5 linked regions of the Mus musculus genome follow. The protein of the gene in region 2 binds, or shares a complex with, the protein of the main gene of each other region. Links are inferred from orthologs where the notes say so. Each region holds a gene or a part of one and is shown on either strand. Other genes may lie near its edges.

Region 1 (4,337 bases), on a different chromosome or scaffold from region 2:
AAGGCGGGCAGAGTGACACAAGATTGTAATCCCAGTGCTGAGAAGGTAGAGTCAGGGAAAGCCCTTGGGTTCACTGGCAAGTCTGTCTAACATAACTGGTGAGATTCAGGCCAATGAGAGACATGACTCAAGAGATGATAGCTTATACTGCACTCTATGGTCATACAAACATGCATACGCGCACATACACACACACACACACACTAACAGGTACACGTTAGGCATAATCTTTTTTCTTAAATCTCTATGAAAGTGTAAAGTTCAAACATTTCTACAAATCAAAGGTTTTTAGGAATTAATTCCACTAATATGTCAATCATAAATTCTGTATAAATATATCACCACTTGTTTTGAAACAACTTATTTCATAAATGTTATCATTACACCTTCAAGTTAATGCATTTATTTTCCATGAAAGTAAAAAAAATTACTTGAAATTTTCATGGTAAAATTATCTTCTGTGTTAGACCAATTCCAATGTCTTTCCATTTTTTTACTTACTGAAAACTTAAAAAAATAAAAAGTACTTAAATTATTATTAAACTTGTTTTGGTTTCTCAGTAACATAATCTAAATAATTAAAATGTTAATTAATATAATCCAAAACCAAGACCATAATAGTAGACACATAGAAGTCAGCTTTTAGGAGTCTTTTATAACCCTAAGCTTGATGGGATAGGTTAAATTCTAAGGCACTGAAGGAGATCTGATGTAAGAGCATGGCTTTCATCTAAGTATCTAACAAGCCCATGCTACGTGAGGCTATCTATCCCCTATGCTAACTTCTCAAGCAAATGGCATAGATACAGGCTATAGTCACAAAAGTGCACCCAGCAGAAATAAACTCACTGTCCTTTACAGTGAGGATCCCAGCACTTCGAGGAATGTAAACATGTAAACAACAGTAAGGGCAGCTAACATGTCCTCAAAGCACAGCATATATTCCTCAACAGACTAACCCATTACATTATGTGTCACACTGACAGACTCCAAGTTGTAGCACTGAAGTCATGCAGAGACACCAAAGGGCTTGCCTACTAAGCAGTAGATCTGCAGCCTGAGTCCAGGCCATGGGAATCCAGGGCCCACTGCCCTGGTCACTAGGCGGCACTGCCTAGTCCAGTGGAGAAAAGGGTTTTACTCTTTGAAAATTAAAGTCCAGAAGGAAGTTTATAATCACTGACTAGTACTTAGCTAAATGTCAGTTCCTATAAATAGTAGGAACTAAACTCTTAAAAACACACCTATTCTTAAAGCAACTGATTATGAAATCATTTGGAGGGCAGAAATGAGTATGTTCTTAACAAATTTCACAGCCATTATAATACATTTCCTTTCCAAATCAGCCTAAGAACATTTGTAAAGCACACTACAATTTATTAGGTGGGTTATAAAAACGGGAAATTTTTGAAACACTTTGATAAGTGAAAAATTTTGAAGTTTCTTACTACTTAGTGGGAAAACCACACAAGAGATATTCATTCTCCTGAAAACTTGCCTTTACAGACACATTGACATTTAGGTTCCTCAATAGGCTTTCATAAAAGCCTCACATGTATGTCAAGTGACATTCTGATTTTGTAAGTAATAAGAAAATAGATCCAGACCGATAAGCTAGATTTATAGATGAAGTAACAAAAGGCACCACAAATATTCATTCTAAAGAAGAAAGCCCTTCCTTCTCTCCCAACCACCGGGGGGAGCTCTCCTGCAGAAGCACTTGTCTTTCCTCAGCCTTGAGCTCTAGACCGGCTGAAAAAGGAACATCAGGAAGACTAAGGCTGAGCCTTGCCCCCTACCCACAGCATAGGGCAGGTTGAGAACATATTCGACACTTATGATACTTCAGTGTGCTGACTCATTGGTGTGTGTGTGGGGGGGGGGGGGTGAGTCAGCTGAGGACCCATGAGCGCTGCTCTTTTCATTCATTCACACTACAGGATCAGAGCAGACGAAGCTCCACGGAGCACTTCAAATACAAAGCGCTTAATTCTTGCCTAGGTCTTCCAACTTAAATTCTAATTTAAAAATCCTATTAGATTGAGGGTTTGGTTTTTTGACAATGTAGGATAAGAGAACAATGTCCTAATTGTCAATTGAATATAGCTTCAGTGGCTAAAACTCTAGTTTCATATCCCCATGGTAACTCACTTTTTTAATGCATTGCTTATATTATTTCTTTTTAAAGTTAGATATTTTAACTGACTTGCTCATTTTTAAAAAGAATAATGTAACTGTGATGAGCATGTTAGACTTACTCAATATTACAACGGCAAAAAGTAAATACAATATAATTCCTGGACTTTTAAAAAAATTCAGTCAACAAATGTTTTCAGAGCACCTATTACACAGGCACTGCACTTGCGGTCAGCTTTTCTTGGAGAAAATAACAGACCAATCTTAGGAATGTTCTATTAAGTACACTTATGAAGTATAACTTTTTTCAGGAAATTAAAAAAATATATATCTATTGCTCCGTAGCATATTTGGCTGTTGCAAGTCTGATTCACAGTTGCAAGTATATTTTGTTCTCTATTCAATCAGCTTCATTTTATTGTACAAAAATGCTTATTTCCTTTAAAGCACTGAATGACAACACACCTTTTAAAACAAAACAAACACAACAAAAATCTCTTCCTGTTTTCCCAAAGTCTGCCCATATTCATTCCCTTCTCCTGCATAGGCACATGTGTCCGTGCAAAGATCCGCTGAGTACCCTCTCACCTGAAGAAGAGTTTGGAGATAAAGCTGGCTTTCTCCAAAGGCGACTTCTGCATGATGTCTCCGTGAGGCAATGAGGTCTGTGTTCGGCTAAATTCAGGTTGGACTCGACATCTGGATATCCAGGACCAGGTCAATGCTTTTGGCTCGTCCCTTTTACTCAGACCTGAGGTGATGTCATTTGCTTCCAATTCCCCCCACCCACTCGGGTCCCACACACCTCCCCTTCCTCAGCCTTCTTCCCCACGCCTCCGCCGCCCAGGTTAAAGCCAGCGCTGCCTAGCCCAGCCTCACAGTCGCTGCTCTCCACGCCCCGCGCCCGCGCCCGCCCCGCGCGCTCCTTGCGCTCCTTCCTCCAGCGCGCCCCGCGCCCGCCCGCCCGCCCGCCGGCGCCACCTTTTCCCTGGCCCTCGGCCTTAGCGCCCGCCCTCCAGATCCCCCCGCGTGCCTACCTTCAGGCAGCCACAGCAACACCGGCTCAGACTGCGGGCCCGACCCTGGGCCCGGGTAAACCGTGGCCAATCTGCGGGACTTAGAACCCTTTTTTCGTGGAAATAAAGACCACTCACTGATCTCCTTGGCTTCCTGGAACCTTTCTCTTCCTTCTCCCTTTCCCTCTCCCTCGTCCTCTCCCCCTTCCTCTTCTCCTCTTTCTCCTTTATCTCTTTCTCCCCCGTCTGTTCCTCTCTCTTTTCTTCCCATTCCTCCCCTGCCTTCATCTCTTTCCTCTTCATCTCTTCCTCTTCCTCCTCCACCTTCATCTCTTTCTCCTTCATTTCGCTCTCCTCTTTCCTCTCTTTCTTCCTCTTTTCTTCCCCTTCCTCTTTCCCTTTCACTCCTCTCTCCTCGTTTTTCTTCTCTTTCACTCCCTCTTTCTCCTGTCTCCTTAGCTCCTGGCTTAGTTACAGATAACTTTTCAAGATCCATTTTGAAAAGGAGATGAAAATGTGGCTCTTTTGTATCAAAGAACACTCAGGAAGCAGCAAGTTCCACAGTACTCTGAGGTGTCCACCTCAGTAAGCCCTTCAAGAGCTGGACAAGACCTAAGCTCTGTTGACTGAAGGCTCTAGAGTAGCCATAGTGGCACAAATACCTATGAGGTATATGTGTGTCATACACATATGTCACAATTCCCTGATATGTCATAATTACAGCAAAGGTCCTACCAAGGAAAGGGAAGCTACTACTTTCCCTTATGAGGTACATGTGTGTCGTACATATATGTCACAATGCCCTGCTGTGTCATAATTACAGCCAAAGTCCTCAAGGACAAAGAGAGCAAAGAGGGCCCTTTACCTCCGGGCCCTGCTCAGTGTGCAGTGTGGTATTTCATGTGTGTGTGCTAAAAAACAACAGGTGGACAGTCTAAACTAAATGACCCTCCTTTCCTTTCCCTAGTCTGCTAAGCAAAATATCTTGACTGAGACACTAAAAGGGCCTCTGAGTCACTGAAGCAAAAGTGTCCTAGTCACTCAAGCTCACAGAGAGAAAAACCTGAGTCTTTAGCTCCCTGGAGGCTTTGGAAGTTTCCCAAGCTGTGCACCTTCCTTCCAAGGTTTTTGGTGTGAGAAATGTGTGTCCAACACAAAACCCTGCTGGGTTGTAAAGAGTCAACA
Region 2 (3,870 bases):
GTTGTATTTCCTAACTACTCTTTGCCAACTTAGCCTTCCTCTTCTTTGGTTCCAACCCAGCTTGAGGTCAGGGGCCCTGTTTCTTGGCCAGTTAGGGCTGAGCCACTTCTCCCAATTCCCATAGATCTCAAGATATTAGGGCAGGTCTTGATCTCAGCAGCTGTACAGCATCCATCTCACTTGCTCTTCCACCCTCCTTCTGGGCTTTGCGGTTTTTGGCAGGGTCCCTTTTATTGGATTGTATTATGTGTCTATGGGAGTCTTTCCCCCCCAAACTCTCCTTTATCACAAAATATTTTCTTACACCATTTAGATGCCCTGGGCAGAGGGTGCCTGATCCACTTTCTACCCCTAGTTGGGAGGGGCCTCTTGTCACCTAATTGATTTGCTGTGCTGCAGACCTAGGTCCCTCCTTGCTGGCCTTCATGAGGGAATACCCTAACTGCAATGCCGCCACGCCTTTTCCCACAGACAGCAAGGCTATTGTGGATGGAAATCTGAAGCTGATCTTAGGCCTCATCTGGACCCTGATCCTGCACTATTCCATCTCAATGCCCATGTGGGATGAGGAAGAGGATGAGGAGGCCAAGAAGCAAACACCCAAGCAGAGGCTTCTAGGCTGGATTCAGAACAAGCTACCACAGCTTCCCATTACCAACTTCAGTCGAGACTGGCAGAGTGGCCGGGCCCTGGGTGCTCTTGTTGATAGCTGTGCCCCAGGTAAGGGAGATCTTGGGCTAAGACTGTCTGGTCAACCTAGAAGGTAGCTCTATAGCCCCAGACTCACAACAAGTTCTTTTCTGTGTTGTAGGCCTATGTCCTGACTGGGACTCCTGGGATGCTAGTAAGCCTGTGAACAATGCACGGGAAGCCATGCAGCAGGCTGATGACTGGCTAGGCATTCCTCAGGTATGCTCCCGGACTGACCCCTGCAGCTAAGGGGTGCTTGGTTAAAGTGAAGAGAGACCCAATGGCTCTTGTCTTCTGTCTGTAACAGGTGATTACCCCAGAAGAAATTGTGGACCCCAATGTAGATGAGCATTCTGTTATGACCTACCTGTCTCAGTTTCCCAAGGCCAAGCTGAAGCCAGGGGCTCCTCTTCGGCCCAAACTGAACCCGAAGAAAGCCCGAGCCTATGGGCCAGGTGAGGGGGCCTGGTCAGTGGCATTCCAAGGGGCTGAGCACTTATATCCGGTCCATGGGACAGTATTCTCTTTCATTTTGGGTCCTAAGAGGTCTTGAGGAAGATGAATGGATCAAAACCTGGTTAAAAATGGTGCCTTGGCAAGGGAATACTAGTAAGTTCCTTAAGTCATACTGGCTTGTAGGAAGCTTCTTGATTGAAGGAGAAGAACCTCACGTATGAAGGATGACCTCGTGTACTGCTATTCTATAATTGGAGATGAAGCAGTCAGGATTGTGCAGGTGCAAGGGGTTAGGAAAGTACAGCAAACCAGATTTTTCAGAGAACAGGCATGGGCCTGTCTTGGTGGCAATAGCCCATATAGCATGGATCTGAGGCCCGGCTCAATGCTGGGTTTACATTGAACAAATCTACCTGATTGGATTGTACCTAGCTGGGGGAGGGGCACTGAGCCTGCAGAGGGATAGGGTCTCTAATGCTGTGTCCATAACCCTTTAGGGTCTGGGAACCAGGGTATAGAGGTGAGAGGGTAGCCCTACTAGTTGGTTCATGGCTTTCTCATCTTCTGACAGGCATCGAGCCTACAGGCAATATGGTGAAGAAGAGAGCAGAATTCACTGTGGAGACCCGAAGTGCTGGACAGGGAGAAGTGCTTGTATATGTGGAGGACCCAGCTGGACACCAGGAAGAGGTAGGATTATCCATTAGCAGGGCAGGATTCTGTTATGCCCCCTTTTAAAGGGGTTGCTCTTAACACTCTTCCCATTACAGGCAAAAGTGACTGCCAATAATGACAAGAACCGTACTTTCTCTGTCTGGTATGTCCCTGAAGTGACAGGGACTCATAAGGTGAGTCCTTGGCTGAGAAGGAAGCTGGTGGCCATGGGTAGTTGGTGAAGGGCCCCTTACCTCACTCTCACAGCCTGCCCCTTCTGGGAACAGGTGACTGTGCTCTTTGCTGGCCAACATATTGCCAAGAGCCCCTTTGAGGTGTATGTGGACAAGTCACAGGGTGATGCCAGCAAAGTGACTGCCCAGGGCCCTGGTCTGGAGCCCAGTGGCAATATTGCCAACAAGACTACCTACTTTGAGATCTTCACTGCAGGTGAGGGGAGACAGCCCAGGCCCAGCCAGCCATGGGGGAGAGCTGTGCTGGGGTCCTAGAGCTGAGTCTGTGCCTTGGGACAGGAGCTGGCATGGGTGAGGTGGAAGTTGTCATCCAGGACCCTACAGGACAGAAAGGCACAGTGGAACCTCAGCTGGAGGCCAGGGGTGACAGCACCTATCGCTGTAGCTATCAGCCCACCATGGAGGGTGTCCATACAGTACATGTCACCTTCGCCGGTGTTCCCATCCCTCGTAGCCCCTACACTGTCACTGTTGGCCAAGGTAGGCCTGCCCATGAGTGTTCTTCTACTGTGGTACTATGGCCTGGGGCTCTAGGGAGGGAGTTGGCAACTGGGACTGTCCCACTGAAGCCCATGTTTGGGAGCCCCAGTTTCTGAGCTTCCACTGTTTGGGCAAGCACTATCTTTCCTTTCCCATATTGGAGCCCTTTTGCTCTCCTTCCTCTCTTTGCCCCTCTTCGTCTCTTTTCTCCATGCTTTTACCTTCGGAAGAGCTCGCTCCAGCTGTCTAGAAACCTGCTGCTCTCTGCTCTACCTGCAGGGTCAACGGTACTTGGATCTACCTTTCTCTTGGTGGGGAGGACTGGGTAGGGGTATTGGGGTTAGTGTCAAGCAGGTGGGAAAAAGCCTGTCATGTCTTTGCTTTGGGTACAGGTTCTAGACCCATTTAAGTTTTTTCTTGCATGTGCTTCACCAGCTTGTGGTCCTAAACTCTGAGGAACCTTCCAATCCTAATGGCCTGGTTTTCTGGGTAGCAAGGGAGGGGATACCCAGCCCCAGTTCCCCACAACTCAGCTGGCTTATTTGCCCACAGCCTGTAACCCAGCTGCCTGCCGGGCTATTGGTAGAGGCCTTCAGCCCAAGGGTGTTCGAGTGAAGGAAACAGCCGACTTCAAGGTGTACACAAAGGGCGCTGGCAGTGGGGAGCTAAAGGTCACTGTAAAGGGTCCCAGTAAGTTTATCTGGTGGGGTGGTGGGTGATAGACCTCAGGTCATGGTTGGACAAGCAGGCCTAAGTTCTTCCTTGCTTTTGCAGAGGGTGAGGAGCGTGTAAAGCAGAAGGACTTAGGGGATGGTGTGTATGGCTTTGAATATTACCCTACAATCCCTGGCACATACACTGTCACCATCACATGGGGTGGCCAGAACATTGGTCGAAGGTAAGCTCCCTCCACTATTCATCATGTTCTGAGCCCTACCATCTATCTGGTGAGGGGCCAGTGGCTGTTGGGCATAGGGCAGTGGCTCTTGGTGTTTACCTGTGTGGTACTCTTGCCTGCAGTCCGTTTGAGGTGAAGGTAGGCACTGAGTGTGGCAATCAGAAAGTTCGGGCATGGGGTCCTGGCCTGGAAGGAGGCATTGTTGGCAAGTCAGCAGACTTCGTAGTAGAGGCCATTGGTGATGATGTGGGCACCTTGGGTAAGTTGGAGGCTTCAGAGTGGGTACCTGGACTAGAGGGTGGCAAGGGCAGCCTATCCCAAGACTCCAGAGCACCAATAGAACTGATGGCTGTTGTCAGGTTTCTCTGTGGAAGGTCCATCACAGGCAAAGATTGAATGTGACGACAAGGGTGATGGCTCCTGTGATGTGCGCTATTG
Region 3 (3,870 bases), on a different chromosome or scaffold from region 2:
GGGGTGGAGGGGCAAGATGAATATTTACACTCTTAAGTCTCAACAGGGCAGGAACTTTTGCCTGTTCCACTTGCTGATGGATTTTCATCAGCCAGAATAAAACCTGGTACAGCCAGTGCTCAGCAAGAGTCCACAGATGCTATACTGCCCCCATTTTATGTGGCAGAGAAAAGAAAAGCATTACCCTGGGTGATGAGATAGGTTAAGAGATATTTTCACTTTCAATCAGACGTGCAAACACAGAAAACCAAAATAGACATTTTAAGAAAAAATAAATAATAGGTTTCCTTGGCAGCTCTAGAAACCTTAAGCATCCGAAGCTTCACGGGCAAAGATTGACAACCCTACTACCCTAACACCTAATTCTGGAAAGGGTCAGGATGCACACAGATCTCGGGGCCCATGGTCAGAGTCTCAGCATCAGTCCCTCCCCTAGCCCACCTCACCGTGTCTCCAATCTTGAGGCCCACACAAGACTTGAGGCCCGGGATAACCTCGTTGTTGAGGCAGGTGGCATTGAAGGACAGTGACAGTTCTTCCGGCAGGTCACGTACTTCCAGCTCCACTTTAGAGCGGATTTTCTGAGCAGAAGAGGGTAAAGGAAGGTTAGGGCACTGACAAAAGCCAAGTCCATCCACACAAAGCCAAGCCAGTGGCCTTGGACTTGCCCTGAGGTTTACCTGGCAGTTGCTGCCATGGAGGCTCTATGCTCGGTCACCTCTTTTGTATGTGGCTGAGACCTGGCTTTCCCTCACTCTGCCCTACAGCTGCATTCTTGGGCATCGAATCCCCATTTGCAGCCTCCTCCTCCTCTAAGCTCCCCACATGCCGTTCCTGTTCCTCCCTGGCCTTCCTTTCTGGCCCATTTCTGAAGGTGCCATTCATTACTCCCAAGGCTGGCCACCATCTACCTCTGGGAGCATAAAGGAAACGCAGTAAGACCATACAGGAGAATGGCAGATGGCTCCCAAATCCGAGCTCTGTTAGAACATGGGCCTGCACCTTTAGGAGTGACCCCACAGCCTGAGTCCCTGCAGCTGTCTTTGGGACAGAGAGTTCCAAGACAATTTGTGCTCTGACTTGACTGTTCTCAATGTATATAGTACCTCCTGGCTTCTCTGTGTGTGATGTTCAACCAAACCATATGATTGGAAACTTCCCGCCACTCCTAAAGCGTATACAGAGCTGGAGCCTCCCTTTGTTCTAGGGATTGGTCTTAGACTCAGCAAGAAGATTGGGTTTGGAGATAAAGGTTGCTCATTGGAGAGGCTCCTTGGGCCTCCCCTCCCACTGCTATCATGGAAGTTTGTCCTGTATCTCTGTCTTCCTCTCTCTCTCTCTTTCTCTCTCTCTCTCCTTTCTCTCTCTCTCTCTCCTTCTCTGAACCTCTCACTCTCTTAATGAAGCTCCTCTTCAGGCTCTACAGGGAAGCCTCTTGTCACCTTTAAGGTCCTATTATGTTCAGTCCCCCTATTATATTGTTTGTATCTAATATTCTCCCACCCACAGGTCCAAGCACGGCTTTTTGATATAATTTCCTTCCTGAAGGAAATTTATGTGTCTGTTTTCTGCCGTAGACCACAACATCCCTCTTGTACTTCTTTTTTTAAAAAGCGCTGATGAGTAAGCTTCGTCCAGCAGACGCACCAGGGCCTCCTGGGCCAGCATTCTTACCCCGTAAGCATCAACAATGAGCTGGAGGACGTTGCTTGAGTCATCAGACAGGACTCCCACTGTGGTCCCAGGAATGAGCTCACTATAATTCTAGAAAGGAAGACAAAGATGTCCACAGCGTCCTGAAGAAAGTGGTCTCCTCCTCAGGTCCTCCTTCGTCAGACTGGCAGCGGTTGTTTGTTTGTTTCTTTCTTTCTTTGTTTTTGGGAGACAAGGTTGCACTGTGCAACCCTGGCTGTCCTGGAACTTGCTCTGTAGACCAGGAAGCCTCAAACTCAAGAGATCTGCCTGCCTCTGCCTCTGCCTCTGCCTCCCAAGTGCTGGGATTAATGACATGCACCACTACCGCCCAACTGGCAGTCTTAAAATTAAGTTTGGAGGGCACTGTGAAGTATCTTACTTGTTACTACCAAAACAGATCTAGCATATTTTCATATCTAAGAAACATTATTTAAAAAACAAAAACCTTTTTCTACCCCTCCCCCCACTGAGTCACCTCCGCCGCCATTGCAAACCACCACAGGTTTCCTTATAGGTGAGAGGTTGAAGGGAAAAGGCTACAGGGAGGAATGTAAGCAGCCTGGAGAATGAGTTTAAAAGGATTTTTTTCCTGGTTGGGTCCCTGGCTAGTGAAAGCAGGAGCTGGCCACCGGGGTCAGGTCCCACCTATGGTGACAAGAGAGAAGCCCAGAGCCCTAATTACCTGGTAAAGGCTGACGACATTTTCAGTCACTGCAAAGATCAAGTTAATGTTTTTCTGGGATAGTTTCTCAGTCATCAGCCCCAGAGATGGGTAGTCCTGAAAACGGGGAAAAGGTGAAGGTTAATAGACACGTCTCACAGGCATCCCTGGATTCTACGCCTTTGAGGCTGTCTTATTTGGGGTATGACCAAAGCAATGTGAAACTTTGATTTTACCCACTAATCAAAGTGAGTGTTATGGTTTGGGTGTGGCTTCAGCAAACCCCTCAGGTTTCGTGAGCTGAAACTGATTTCCCCCTGTGAGATGCTGAGACAGTGGACACACACACACACACACACACACACACACACACCGCTAAGGTATTTAGGGTAAAGTCTTTGGGAAGTAAGGAGAATTAGAAGGCCCCAGAGTTGAATCTCACTAGCTTAACAAAAGAAAACCAATGAAGACAGAAACCCACACGCATGCTCCCTGTCCTCCGGACTCACGCATGCTCCCTGACCTCCTGCCTCAGGACCGCCTGAGTCTTGGGACTCAGCCAGCCGTGATCATCACCAGATGCTGTCCCTCAAATTCACAAGTTCTAAAAACAAAACGAAAGCTCTTTTCCAACTTACTGTGTCTGTGCTATTGTATCATTAGCAACAGAAAATGGCGCAGTGCCTGAGTGAAAGGGTAAAAAGTCCCAGAAGCTCGGCTATGAACCCTGGGCTGGTGGCTCCAAAACCAAGCACCTTCCTTCCCGCTCAGGCTCAAAACATCTCCATGGGCTGGGCCCCACTGTTGTGGAATTACGGGCAAATGCCCTAACCTCGCTCTACTGGTCACCTGCCACATGATCTCAGCCTCACTGTCCAAATGTCACTCACCCCTACGCCTGCCTCTTCTCCTCAGCACTGACCTGGCTCATTTCTCCTGTTACCTGTCATCTTGGTAATCCTCCTCCTTCCTTAGCCTAAGCTCACCTCCTCCAGGAAGCCCTCCTTGACCACCCCAGCTTCTAAGAGCTTTCCTCCTTCAACTGCCAATAGCCCTTGACTGTGTCACCCACCCAATTAGTGTACATCATGAGTTCCATGCTATTAATACTGTGTAGGGATAAATCCTCTCTCTTCATCTAAACCTCCTAAGAGTAGGTAGGTCCTTATAGCTGTTTCATCTCTCACAGCTCCAGCTCAGTGCTCTGGGTAGACTAGTGTCAAAGTTTGCTGACTTACCCATTGTCTGACATTGCTCAGCTTGGATGTGGTTAATACCAAGGAAGTGGAGAGACCAGGAAACAGTACGAGTCATGACTATGTCCGTGGAAACCTAGACCTTGTGAGGGAGCTCATGAGATCTCCAGTCAAGTGTCCTGCCTTTGATCATTTACAGGTGGTTCCTCTATTTATTGACTTTAAAAAACAGAGTAGGCTGGAGTGGCTTGGTAGTTAGGTAATATCTAACATACTGTAAGATACTGGGTTCAGCCTCCAGACCAGAAAAAAAAATAA
Region 4 (4,459 bases), on a different chromosome or scaffold from region 2:
TCATGGAAATAAAGATGGAGGGGACATGGCTTCATGGTAGAGCACTTGTCCTGCATTCGAAAGGCTATCCCTAGCACTGCAGAAAAGGAGGGGAAAAAAGAAAAGACTTAAAGGAGGGTGTGGCTATAGTCCTACGACCCTTTGCCTTGGGGCAAAAGGCAAGCAAGACCATCAGGGCATGCGTGGTGCTCTTCTGCTCTCTGCCCCCTACCCCCATAGAGAAGGATCTTTTTTTTTAAAGACTTATTTATTTATTATATGTAAATACACTGTAGCTGTCTTCATACACACCAGAAGAGGGTGTCAGATCTCATTATGGATGGTTGTGAGCCACCATGTGGTTGCTGGGATTTGAACTCAGGACCTTCGGAAGAATAGTCAGTGCCCTTAACCACTGAGCCATCATCTCTCCAGCCCGAGAAGAATATTTCTACGCAGAATCTGACCCTCCTCACTTTGTTTACTCCTTCCATCCTTTAGGAAGACTTCAGATTCAGCCTTTCAGCAGCACTACATGCTGGGCTGTGGGCTAGGCCCTAGGACAGCAGAAAGAACCCTTGCTCTCAAAGGACTCGGGTACTCAACCCAGTAAAAAGTGCCATCAGGTACCATGCCCATGTGTGTGTATGCCATGGTGCCATCCTGAGGACTCACGAGGTTTCTCCTAGTCAGTGACTCCGTCCACAAACAGTTCTGGAAGGTTCTATTCTAGCTATCTTTCAATCTATTTTATTTATGTAGATACTGTCAACCAAAAAGGAGCAAAGCTGTTCACTTGAACAGCTGGTGCTCAACCTCGAGGACTGTGAACGCCGCACCTCAGAATGATGTCCTTTTAGCTCCATCTCCCCCCACTTAGGCCAAGACCCATTCATCACCCCTCTGCCCAGTATTGAAGGCTCCAGTGTAACCACACTAAGACTTGGTTCAAGATGGAGACGTGAGGAAAGTGATGGTCAAATGCAACCGGCTGAGGCTGCCCAAAGGCTCATGGGGGAGGAAGTGGGTAAATGTCCTACTCAAAATGATGACAGCCTCTGGTCTTATCAGGGGAGAACAGCTTGCTTACTCCTTCCTCTCCCCTTGGCCACATCACAGCATTCAAGAGCAGGATGGTCAGCTGCATGGGGGAGGTAAGAGCTGTACAACTGTGGGCCATGGCAAAGTGAGCCAGGCAGCGAATTCATGGTTATACTTTCCCAGGCAGAAAGGGATGGTGGCTGGACTTTCACAGTGACAGAGGAAGAGAAAGAGAAAGGGGATTGCCGGGCTTGTGGCTGAGAAACAGAGACAACAGGACATGGAGGTGAGCTTTCCTGGAGAGGAAGGGGAAGCAGTGACTTCCAGCCATCAGCATCCATCCCCGGGGTGGGCCCTCCCCCGTCCTAGTCGACGTCTAGAGGCTATTGCCCTCTGCCATGCCTGCTGCTCAGCCATGAGCTCCAGTCTGATAAGCTGAAACTTCCGGTGGTGGGAACTTCAGGGAAAGGGAAAGAGCTGGCCCATTCCTGTTTAGGACGTTTGGGAAGAAGGAAGATGGCCAGAGCCTCCTGCGCATGGCATTCCCTGTGGCTTCTGCAGTGGACACCACTGTTCTTGGGTCCTAGTGCTGTTCCTCCAGTCTGGGCCTTGAACCTGGACTCTGAGAAGTTCTCCGTCTATGCAGGTCCCAATGGCAGCCACTTTGGCTTCTCAGTGGACTTTCATAAGGACAAACATGGAAGGTGAGCGCTAAAGGACATATGGGCGTTAAGAGAGGTCTGCACCCTCGAATTGCTCCTGTGGACTCTCTCAGTACCTAGATGAGCAAGGTCAGTTCTCCGGTCTGAGTGGAGCTCCTGTCAATGGAGGACCGTTTCCAGGGTGGGTACTGGGGAGAGATAGCAATGGGGAGATGAGCACAAAAGTTTAAAGCTGATGTCTTCCTTTTTCCTTTTCCCCAAGTGTCAGTGATGTGACCGGCTTTACCTCCCTCCCCTCACCCTAAACTGACTGGCAAAGCTACAAGTACCTACCTGGTACACCTTGCTTTCCTCCGTTCCATGCCTCACCTCCTTCCAAATTACAGATGTTTGAAAAGAAGTATTAGATTACTAACAGTCAGTATGGATCAGGCTTTGAGGTCAGACTCCTGGCTCATCTACATAGCTGTGTTTATCCTGAGTGACTTATTGAGATGGACACTGGATTGCCCAGGACTGGGGAATAGTAATTATTCTCAAAGACAGCTGCAAGAAATTATTTCTTCTGCCTGAGAGAGCCACTTCATCAAAAATCAGGTCCCCTTCCCAAGATGGCTTGCACGCAGAGACTATTCGTGATGGGGAAGAACCCAGGGTTGCCTCAATTCTAATGATTCTAAAGGGCACTTCTCTAGCTGAGTGTGGTAACATGTGCTTGCAAACCCAGGACTTGGAAGCTGAGGCAGGAGAACTACCACAAGTTAAATAGCCAGGGCCACATAACAAGACTCCATCAGAATAAATACATAGAATTCCTGATGGGTGTCATGACAGACACCTTTAACCAATCTCCTTTACTGGAAAGCAGAGTTAGGCAGAGCCAGCCTGCTAATCCAAATAGTGAGTTTCCTCCGGGACAGCCAGAGCTACATAGAGAGAGCCTATCTCAAAACAAATAGACAAAACCAACCAAACGAAACCCTCCTGGCATCAGAGCTCCTGAGTGCCTCTGTTCAACTCCTTTCTTTTCTTCCGGTCTCCTGCTTCATTCCCCAAGGTCTGGTCACATGGGCACGATTTAATAAGCATCCTGTGTGTTTATTAACGCACACGTTTACAAAAGCATGTTGCCGGATCATACTAAATACCTCTCATACAATTATTGCATTTACTCTTCCAACAGCAACATTGGTTGTCATTACCTCCATTTTACATATGGCAGGCCTGATTTAAACAGAGATCTGCTAGGCTCCTCAACCCTGTCAGTACCGTACATCCCAGTGAGCTCTCCCCGGCCTTCCCCCTTTCAACCAGGTCTAGCTAAGGGATCTCTCTAGAAGTTTGACAGGCAGACATTTTGTCTGGTTCTTGTTGGGAGGGAGTGAGGGTGAGGGAAATCGGTGTACAAAGGAAGCATAACAGGTCTTTTCAGTAAGGATTATTAAAGCCTTCCCATCCAAACCAAACCAACTGGTTTAGTCTCAGGTTAATTTCCTAAGAATCCACTTTCAGCTAAAATGAAGAGGTTGTCCTCAAAGGACTATCTGTGAGGAAAGGTGGTCCAGTTTTTCCTATGCCACGCCTCCTTCCAGGTACTGCTGGGGCAGTGGGCACCGGGCAGGATAGAAAGGCCATAACCTGTGCTCATCCAGCTTTCCTACACAGCGTGTCCATCGTGGTGGGCGCCCCCAGGGCCCTAAACGCAAGTCAAGAGGAGACTGGAGCCGTATTCCTGTGCCCCTGGAAGGCCAATGGTGGCAAGTGCAACCCGTTGCTCTTCGACCTCAGTGAGTCTCAAGAATGAAGGGGAAAGGGGGTCCCCAGGTGGAAATGGATGGCCGGGCTCCAGAGCTCCACCTTTACTTGTGCCCTCCAGGGGATGAGACACGAAACCTAGGCTTCCAAATTTTCCAAACCTTCAAGACCGGGCAAGGACTTGGGGCGTCGGTCGTCAGCTGGAATGACGTCATTGTGGTGGGTACTGTGGACAAGTCAAAGGGAGCAAATCCAGGGTAGGGACACGTTGGGGGAAGCCCGAATAAGCCCCCTTCCCTACTCTCCTGTGGGTCTGCTCTAGGCCTGTGCCCCCTGGCAGCACTGGAATGTCCTGGAAAAGCGCGATGAGGCAGAGAAGACTCCGGTAGGAGGCTGCTTCTTGGCTCAGCTCCAAAGCGGGGGCCGCGCAGAGTACTCGCCCTGTCGCGCCAACACCATGAGCTCCGTTTACGCAGAGAGTTTTCGTAAGCTCTGGTTTGCCATTCGCTCCGCCCACTGATCGCTGCCAACCCCGCCCCACCAAGGACCTCGGGCCCCGGGGGCCCGCCCCTCCGCTACACCACGCCCCTGGGCCCCGCCTCCATGTCCTCCGGGCTCTGCATAGTTCCCCCTGCCCACGCGGGGCTCTTGGCTTAAGCGCACATTCGGGGGACCTCCCCTTGGCTGATCCCCGCTTGCCTCTTGTAGGCGGAGACAAGCGATACTGTGAAGCAGGCTTCAGCTTGGCGGTGACCCAGGCAAGTCACAGGCAAAAGCAAACAAGAGAGCTCAGCTTGATGGTTGAGACAGGGGGAGGGCGAGTTTGAGGTCAGCCTGGGCTACATACAAGGCAAGCCTGGGCTTCAAAGTAAGACTGCTCTTAAAAGGAGAAGGGGATGGCTTCGGTGGTCCACGCCTATAATTCCAGCAATTGGAGGCCGAGAAAGGGGTGCTCGAGTTCGAGGTCTACCTGGGCTAGGTAATAAGACCCTGCCATAAAAATGAGATAAAAATATATTAAC
Region 5 (3,870 bases), on a different chromosome or scaffold from region 2:
CATGGTGTCTCTTCACAGCAAGCTAAGACAATACCCAGTATGTATTAGAGCTACCACCAGGAGACCCCATCTAATGTTCATCTCCTCATACAGGGCCGGGTAAGGAGTGGGAATGAGAGGGCCACAGGGCAGAGCCTGTGGATGGCTGCTAGCTGCCCTGCCCAAGTGTCCCGGATGGCTCCACCTCCTGCTTTGCCCCACTGAAGAGAGATGTTTTCCTCTACAGCCCCCTCACTGTCTGCAAAGGCCTCACGGTCAGAGTACTCCACTGAGAACTATGCTCCACTGAGACCAGATCATGAGATCACACCCCCAGGTACCACCCAGCCTCACCTAGACTGTCCTCCACATGGATGTTGTAAATGTTCCTTCCGTCCTTCTGCTGCAAAGTGTAAGTTATCCAACAGCCTTCCGAGTCCCTCTCCTTGCAGGGCTTTTTCTTCAAAGGGATAGTCTGCAGCGTCATACCAGCACACTGAACACTACAGTTCTTCTCAAAAGGGCCCTTATCAAACTTCAGGCACTCGGCACAAGAGCTGCAGAGGAGGAGGAGGAGGAGTCAGGTGGGGTGGGTGTTGAGAGCATGTAAGGGCATGAGGTGTGAATTGGCGCATGTTGGTTCTTTCGAGGGCACATCAGTGATGTCAGGGCACGCAGGTGCGTGGAGGTGTGTGGTTGTGGAAGGGTGCGCTAGTGTGTCAAAGTGTGTGTGCCAGGATGTCCAGGTGTATGTGGGTACACTGACTGGTATTTGAGGGTGCATGGACTGCAGAGCTATGCAAGGTCATGTGTATGACTCAGGAAAAAACATGGTTGTGTCTGATGTATGGTCTGAGGAGAGTGTAGTCATTTGCAAACTAGGCGGTCCTAGGTGGAGGGTCTGGGAGCTTTCAGTCTCAGGGTAACCAAGTGAGGGATGAGAGAGACACAAATTGTGGTCCTACCAGGGTATGGAAGGCAGAGCCAGTGTTAATGGAAACTTCATTCAAGGGCTGAAGGGGCCTAGGCCTAGCATCCTCCCTGTGAAGCCAGGGCTCCTGCAGCCATGCAAGAAGGCAGGTGGTGGCAGGGACACTGGACCTGCTGAATCCTGCTAAGAACTCTGGAGCAGTGGTGTCCCCAAGGGCTCCCAGGTAGTCCAGCAGTGAGGCCAATGTGGGCAGTGGGAACACTCACGTGTGGTTGTCCCTGCAGTGCGAGCCACAGCTGGGACAATCCTCACACATCGGTGGCTGGTAGCCTTCGTCACATATGCACCTGTTGCATTGGCAGTGGCCACGGCCACTGCACTCTACCAGCCGTGCATTCAGACAGCCCGTGGTGGACCTCTGACACTGGCAGGCCGAGCCCTCGTAACCGGGCTTGCAACTACATTTGCCACAGTTGCAGGAACCCCGATCTGGAAAACAACAGAGGATAACATGACTCACTTCCCTGCAGGCTGCTAGGAACAGAGGCTCATCTTCCCTCCTCCGTGCTCCCCAGACCAATCAAGGAGGACTTGTACTTAAGCCTCCTCTACCAATTCACATGACCCCAGAGCACCATGGAAGGATAGCTTAGCAAAACCACAGAGGCCAGGCATACCTTCCTGACCTGCATCCTCAGCAACATGGCCACCATCCAGCCAGATGGGACCTCTTTATTGTATCTGAAAAGCTCTTGGGTCAGGACATGACTATTCCCCTCCACAACCTTCCCAGGACAACGCTGACTGACACAGACACAGATACAGGTCATTGCTAGCCTTGTCTGTCTGCTCCCCCCCCCATGTCCCACTTAAGATCTCCTGGTACAAATGGACAAGGAAGCCCCCAACACTAACCTGAGCCACCGCAGACTTGGCTGTTATATCTCTCACAGTTGACATTGTCACACTCGCAGTATTGCCCAAAGATCTCTTTGTTGGGGACGTCACTGGTATGGCATACACACTGCCCACAGATGCAGTCCCCAAGCCCTGAGCACACGATGGAACTATTGTCCTTCCGACAGTTTCTCTCCAGCTCCTGGCTGCTCCGACCCTGAGTCTGGCACTCACAGTTTTTCCCAATGTAGCCAGACTCACACCTGGTATGATGTGGGAGGGGTTGTACTTAGGTGTGCCCTTGGGAAGGGGGTACCTGTCCTTCCCGGCCCAACAGTCACTCAAACACCTGTAAAGTATGTCATAGCACATTTGCTCTCCAAATGTCTCCTGAGCATGTGCTATGTACTAGGCAAAGATGTCTCCGGGGTCACAGTCACACAGTGACTGGTCTATGAGCATGGTACCTCTTGCAGGCTCACCTGGGAGCTGCCTGAGACTTGTATTAGTGGATTGTCCCAAGAAGCCAGTATCTGTCCCTCCTGACCTAGACTTGGAAGGAGGTCTGGTAGAGATCCGAGATCACTGCCTTATCACTGAACTAGGTAGACAGAAGAATGTATGTACACCATACATAGCTTAGTAAGAGAAGAATGGCAGTAGCTAATCTTAACACATCTTGCAGTGTCCTCCTGCAGGAGGAAGCCACAGAATTCACTGACCAATGGCCCAATCCTCCAGGCAAGTTAGCTCAGCTTTGTAGAGAGGCCACCTAGGGCTGTACACTTAGGATCAGGGCAAGGTGCTACTGGCCGGGGGTGGGGATGGGGCAGCCGCAGAAACCACCACTCTTAGAGTTTCTGGGAGGAGGTATACAGCCAGTGCAGGTCTGAGGTGTAGGATAGAGCATCTCTCTCTCTCTCTTTTTAAAGACGTATTTATTAATAATAATTATATCTAAGTATATTGTAGCTGTCTTCAGACATACCAGAAGAAGGTATCAGATCTCATTACAGATGGTTATGAGCCACCATGTGGTTGCTAGGATTTGAATTCAGAGCGGTCAGTGCTCTTAACCACGGAGCCATCTCTCGAGCTCAGGATAGAGCATCTCAAAGATCAGAAACTGGGACAGCAATTGGAAGGAAATGGCTAGTATCCAGACCGGCAACTACAGCCTCTATGCTTTGTACACTGCATCCTTCCTCCTCCCCCTCCTCCTCCTCTTCTTCCTCTTCCTCCTCTTCTTCCTCTTCCTCTTTCTCCTCCTCCTCCTCTCTCTCTTCCTCCTCCTCAACTGAACTGAGGCCTGTATATACATGCCCACAGGATGGTTTTAGGGCCCAGGCTGCCAGGAATGGTCAGCTATCCCAAAGGAGCTCTAGCAACATGCTGCAAATCTGATTGGTCAGAGTCTCTGAGGTCAGAGAGCTAGGATATGGGAGTTCCTGTAGAGCATCTGTTTCCTGGGTGAGCTGGCCACACCTACTTTACTTGAAGACATGTGGCTCACAAGCAGGCATGCCATGCTATGGGCTGGCCTCATCTGCAGACACCTTTTCCATGAACTGATGCCCCACAGGCCACACGTACCCTCCTCACCTGCAGATACCACACTCCATGACTCCCTTGCCTCCACAGAGACTCTGCTCCCGACTCTGGTCCCGGCACTGACACTCACACTGGGGACGGACCTGCACGGTCACTGTATCCGTGAAACCCAGTGCCCGGATGACAAAGGACTGCTCCTGGATACACTCGGAAGCCATGACCTTTACCTGGAAGGTGACCTAGAGGGGAATGGTGGCCTTCAGTTCCCAACTGTGGGTGACCAGGCCTTGCTTTTTGTCCTTTGCCCACCCTCTCAGATACATGTTCAGCAGGTGCCCCTAGAGGGTGCTGTCATCCCACGCTCATCTTTCTACCCAGGGCCATTGTAAATAGAAATGTGCAGGTATTCACTGTGTTGATAGGCATGAAGTTACAGCTGACATCAGGTCTGGTACCCTCCCCTAATTTTCTATCTGGCCTCCTCATGGGTGTTTAGAAGAAGAGGAGGTTGG

Evidence for each region.
Region 1: the proteins of Flna (region 2) and Cftr are in contact, whole or in part, in a crystal structure (PDB 3ISW), measured with the Homo sapiens proteins. The link is inferred for Mus musculus from reciprocal best matches to the Homo sapiens genes FLNA and CFTR. Residues at the interface, in NP_001104026.1 of Homo sapiens: Thr2263, Gly2267, Ala2268, Gly2269, Gly2270, Leu2271, Ala2272, Ile2273, Ala2274, Val2275, Glu2276, Gly2277, Pro2278, Ser2279, Lys2280, Ala2281, Ile2283, Ser2284, Phe2285, Asp2287, Phe2311; in NP_000483.3 of Homo sapiens: Ser10, Val11, Val12, Ser13, Lys14, Leu15, Phe16, Phe17, Ser18, Trp19, Thr20.
Region 3: the proteins of Flna (region 2) and Itgb3 are in contact, whole or in part, in an NMR structure (PDB 2MTP), measured with the Homo sapiens proteins. The link is inferred for Mus musculus from reciprocal best matches to the Homo sapiens genes FLNA and ITGB3. Residues at the interface, in NP_001104026.1 of Homo sapiens: Gly2236, Arg2264, Ala2268, Gly2269, Gly2270, Leu2271, Ala2272, Ile2273, Ala2274, Val2275, Glu2276, Gly2277, Pro2278, Ser2279, Lys2280, Ala2281, Ile2283, Phe2285, Asp2287, Gly2291; in NP_000203.2 of Homo sapiens: Lys742, Ile745, Thr746, Pro771, Leu772, Tyr773, Lys774, Glu775, Ala776, Thr777, Ser778, Thr779, Ile783, Tyr785, Arg786, Gly787, Thr788.
Region 4: the proteins of Flna (region 2) and Itga2b are in contact, whole or in part, in an NMR structure (PDB 7SFT), measured with the Homo sapiens proteins. The link is inferred for Mus musculus from reciprocal best matches to the Homo sapiens genes FLNA and ITGA2B. Residues at the interface, in NP_001104026.1 of Homo sapiens: Thr2263, Gly2267, Ala2268, Gly2269, Gly2270, Leu2271, Ile2273, Ala2274, Val2275, Glu2276, Gly2277, Ser2279, Ile2283, Phe2285, Asp2287, Arg2288, Lys2289, Gly2291, Cys2293, Val2295; in NP_000410.2 of Homo sapiens: Trp1019, Lys1020, Val1021, Gly1022, Phe1023, Phe1024, Lys1025, Arg1026, Asn1027, Arg1028, Pro1029, Pro1030.
Region 5: the proteins of Flna (region 2) and Itgb2 are in contact, whole or in part, in a crystal structure (PDB 2JF1), measured with the Homo sapiens proteins. The link is inferred for Mus musculus from reciprocal best matches to the Homo sapiens genes FLNA and ITGB2. Residues at the interface, in NP_001104026.1 of Homo sapiens: Val2241, Thr2263, Ala2266, Gly2267, Ala2268, Gly2269, Gly2270, Leu2271, Ala2272, Ile2273, Ala2274, Val2275, Glu2276, Gly2277, Pro2278, Ser2279, Lys2280, Ala2281, Ile2283, Phe2285, Phe2311; in NP_000202.3 of Homo sapiens: Leu753, Phe754, Lys755, Ser756, Ala757, Thr758, Thr759, Thr760, Val761, Met762, Asn763.

The regions. Positions count from the first base shown.
Region 1 is NC_000072.6:18,169,264-18,173,600, reverse strand, and holds the start of Cftr (cystic fibrosis transmembrane conductance regulator), read right to left. Parts: upstream 2,915-4,337; 5' UTR 2,778-2,914; coding exon 2,725-2,777; intron 1-2,724. UniProt on the Homo sapiens protein: Epithelial ion channel that plays an important role in the regulation of epithelial ion and water transport and fluid homeostasis. Mediates the transport of chloride ions across the cell membrane.
Region 2 is NC_000086.7:74,239,767-74,243,636, reverse strand, and holds part of Flna (filamin-A), read left to right. Parts: intron 1-471; coding exon 472-720; intron 721-811; coding exon 812-909; intron 910-997; coding exon 998-1,145; intron 1,146-1,717; coding exon 1,718-1,836; intron 1,837-1,916; coding exon 1,917-1,994; intron 1,995-2,087; coding exon 2,088-2,250; intron 2,251-2,333; coding exon 2,334-2,534; intron 2,535-2,764; exon of another isoform or gene 2,765-2,821; intron 2,822-3,086; coding exon 3,087-3,224; intron 3,225-3,308; coding exon 3,309-3,432; intron 3,433-3,554; coding exon 3,555-3,691; intron 3,692-3,791; coding exon 3,792-3,870. UniProt on the Homo sapiens protein: Promotes orthogonal branching of actin filaments and links actin filaments to membrane glycoproteins. Anchors various transmembrane proteins to the actin cytoskeleton and serves as a scaffold for a wide range of cytoplasmic signaling proteins.
Region 3 is NC_000077.6:104,638,895-104,642,764, reverse strand, and holds part of Itgb3 (integrin beta-3 precursor), read right to left. Parts: intron 2,474-3,870; coding exon 2,378-2,473; intron 1,765-2,377; coding exon 1,675-1,764; intron 582-1,674; coding exon 447-581; intron 1-446. UniProt on the Homo sapiens protein: Integrin alpha-V/beta-3 (ITGAV:ITGB3) is a receptor for cytotactin, fibronectin, laminin, matrix metalloproteinase-2, osteopontin, osteomodulin, prothrombin, thrombospondin, vitronectin and von Willebrand factor.
Region 4 is NC_000077.6:102,466,790-102,471,248, reverse strand, and holds the start of Itga2b (integrin alpha-IIb precursor), read left to right. Parts: upstream 1-1,365; 5' UTR 1,366-1,536; coding exon 1,537-1,724; intron 1,725-3,347; coding exon 3,348-3,469; intron 3,470-3,558; coding exon 3,559-3,656; intron 3,657-3,759; coding exon 3,760-3,922; intron 3,923-4,145; coding exon 4,146-4,195; intron 4,196-4,459. UniProt on the Homo sapiens protein: Integrin alpha-IIb/beta-3 is a receptor for fibronectin, fibrinogen, plasminogen, prothrombin, thrombospondin and vitronectin. It recognizes the sequence R-G-D in a wide array of ligands.
Region 5 is NC_000076.6:77,557,679-77,561,548, reverse strand, and holds part of Itgb2 (integrin beta-2 isoform 1 precursor), read right to left. Parts: intron 3,598-3,870; coding exon 3,410-3,597; intron 2,071-3,409; coding exon 1,826-2,070; intron 1,400-1,825; coding exon 1,177-1,399; intron 537-1,176; coding exon 334-536; intron 1-333.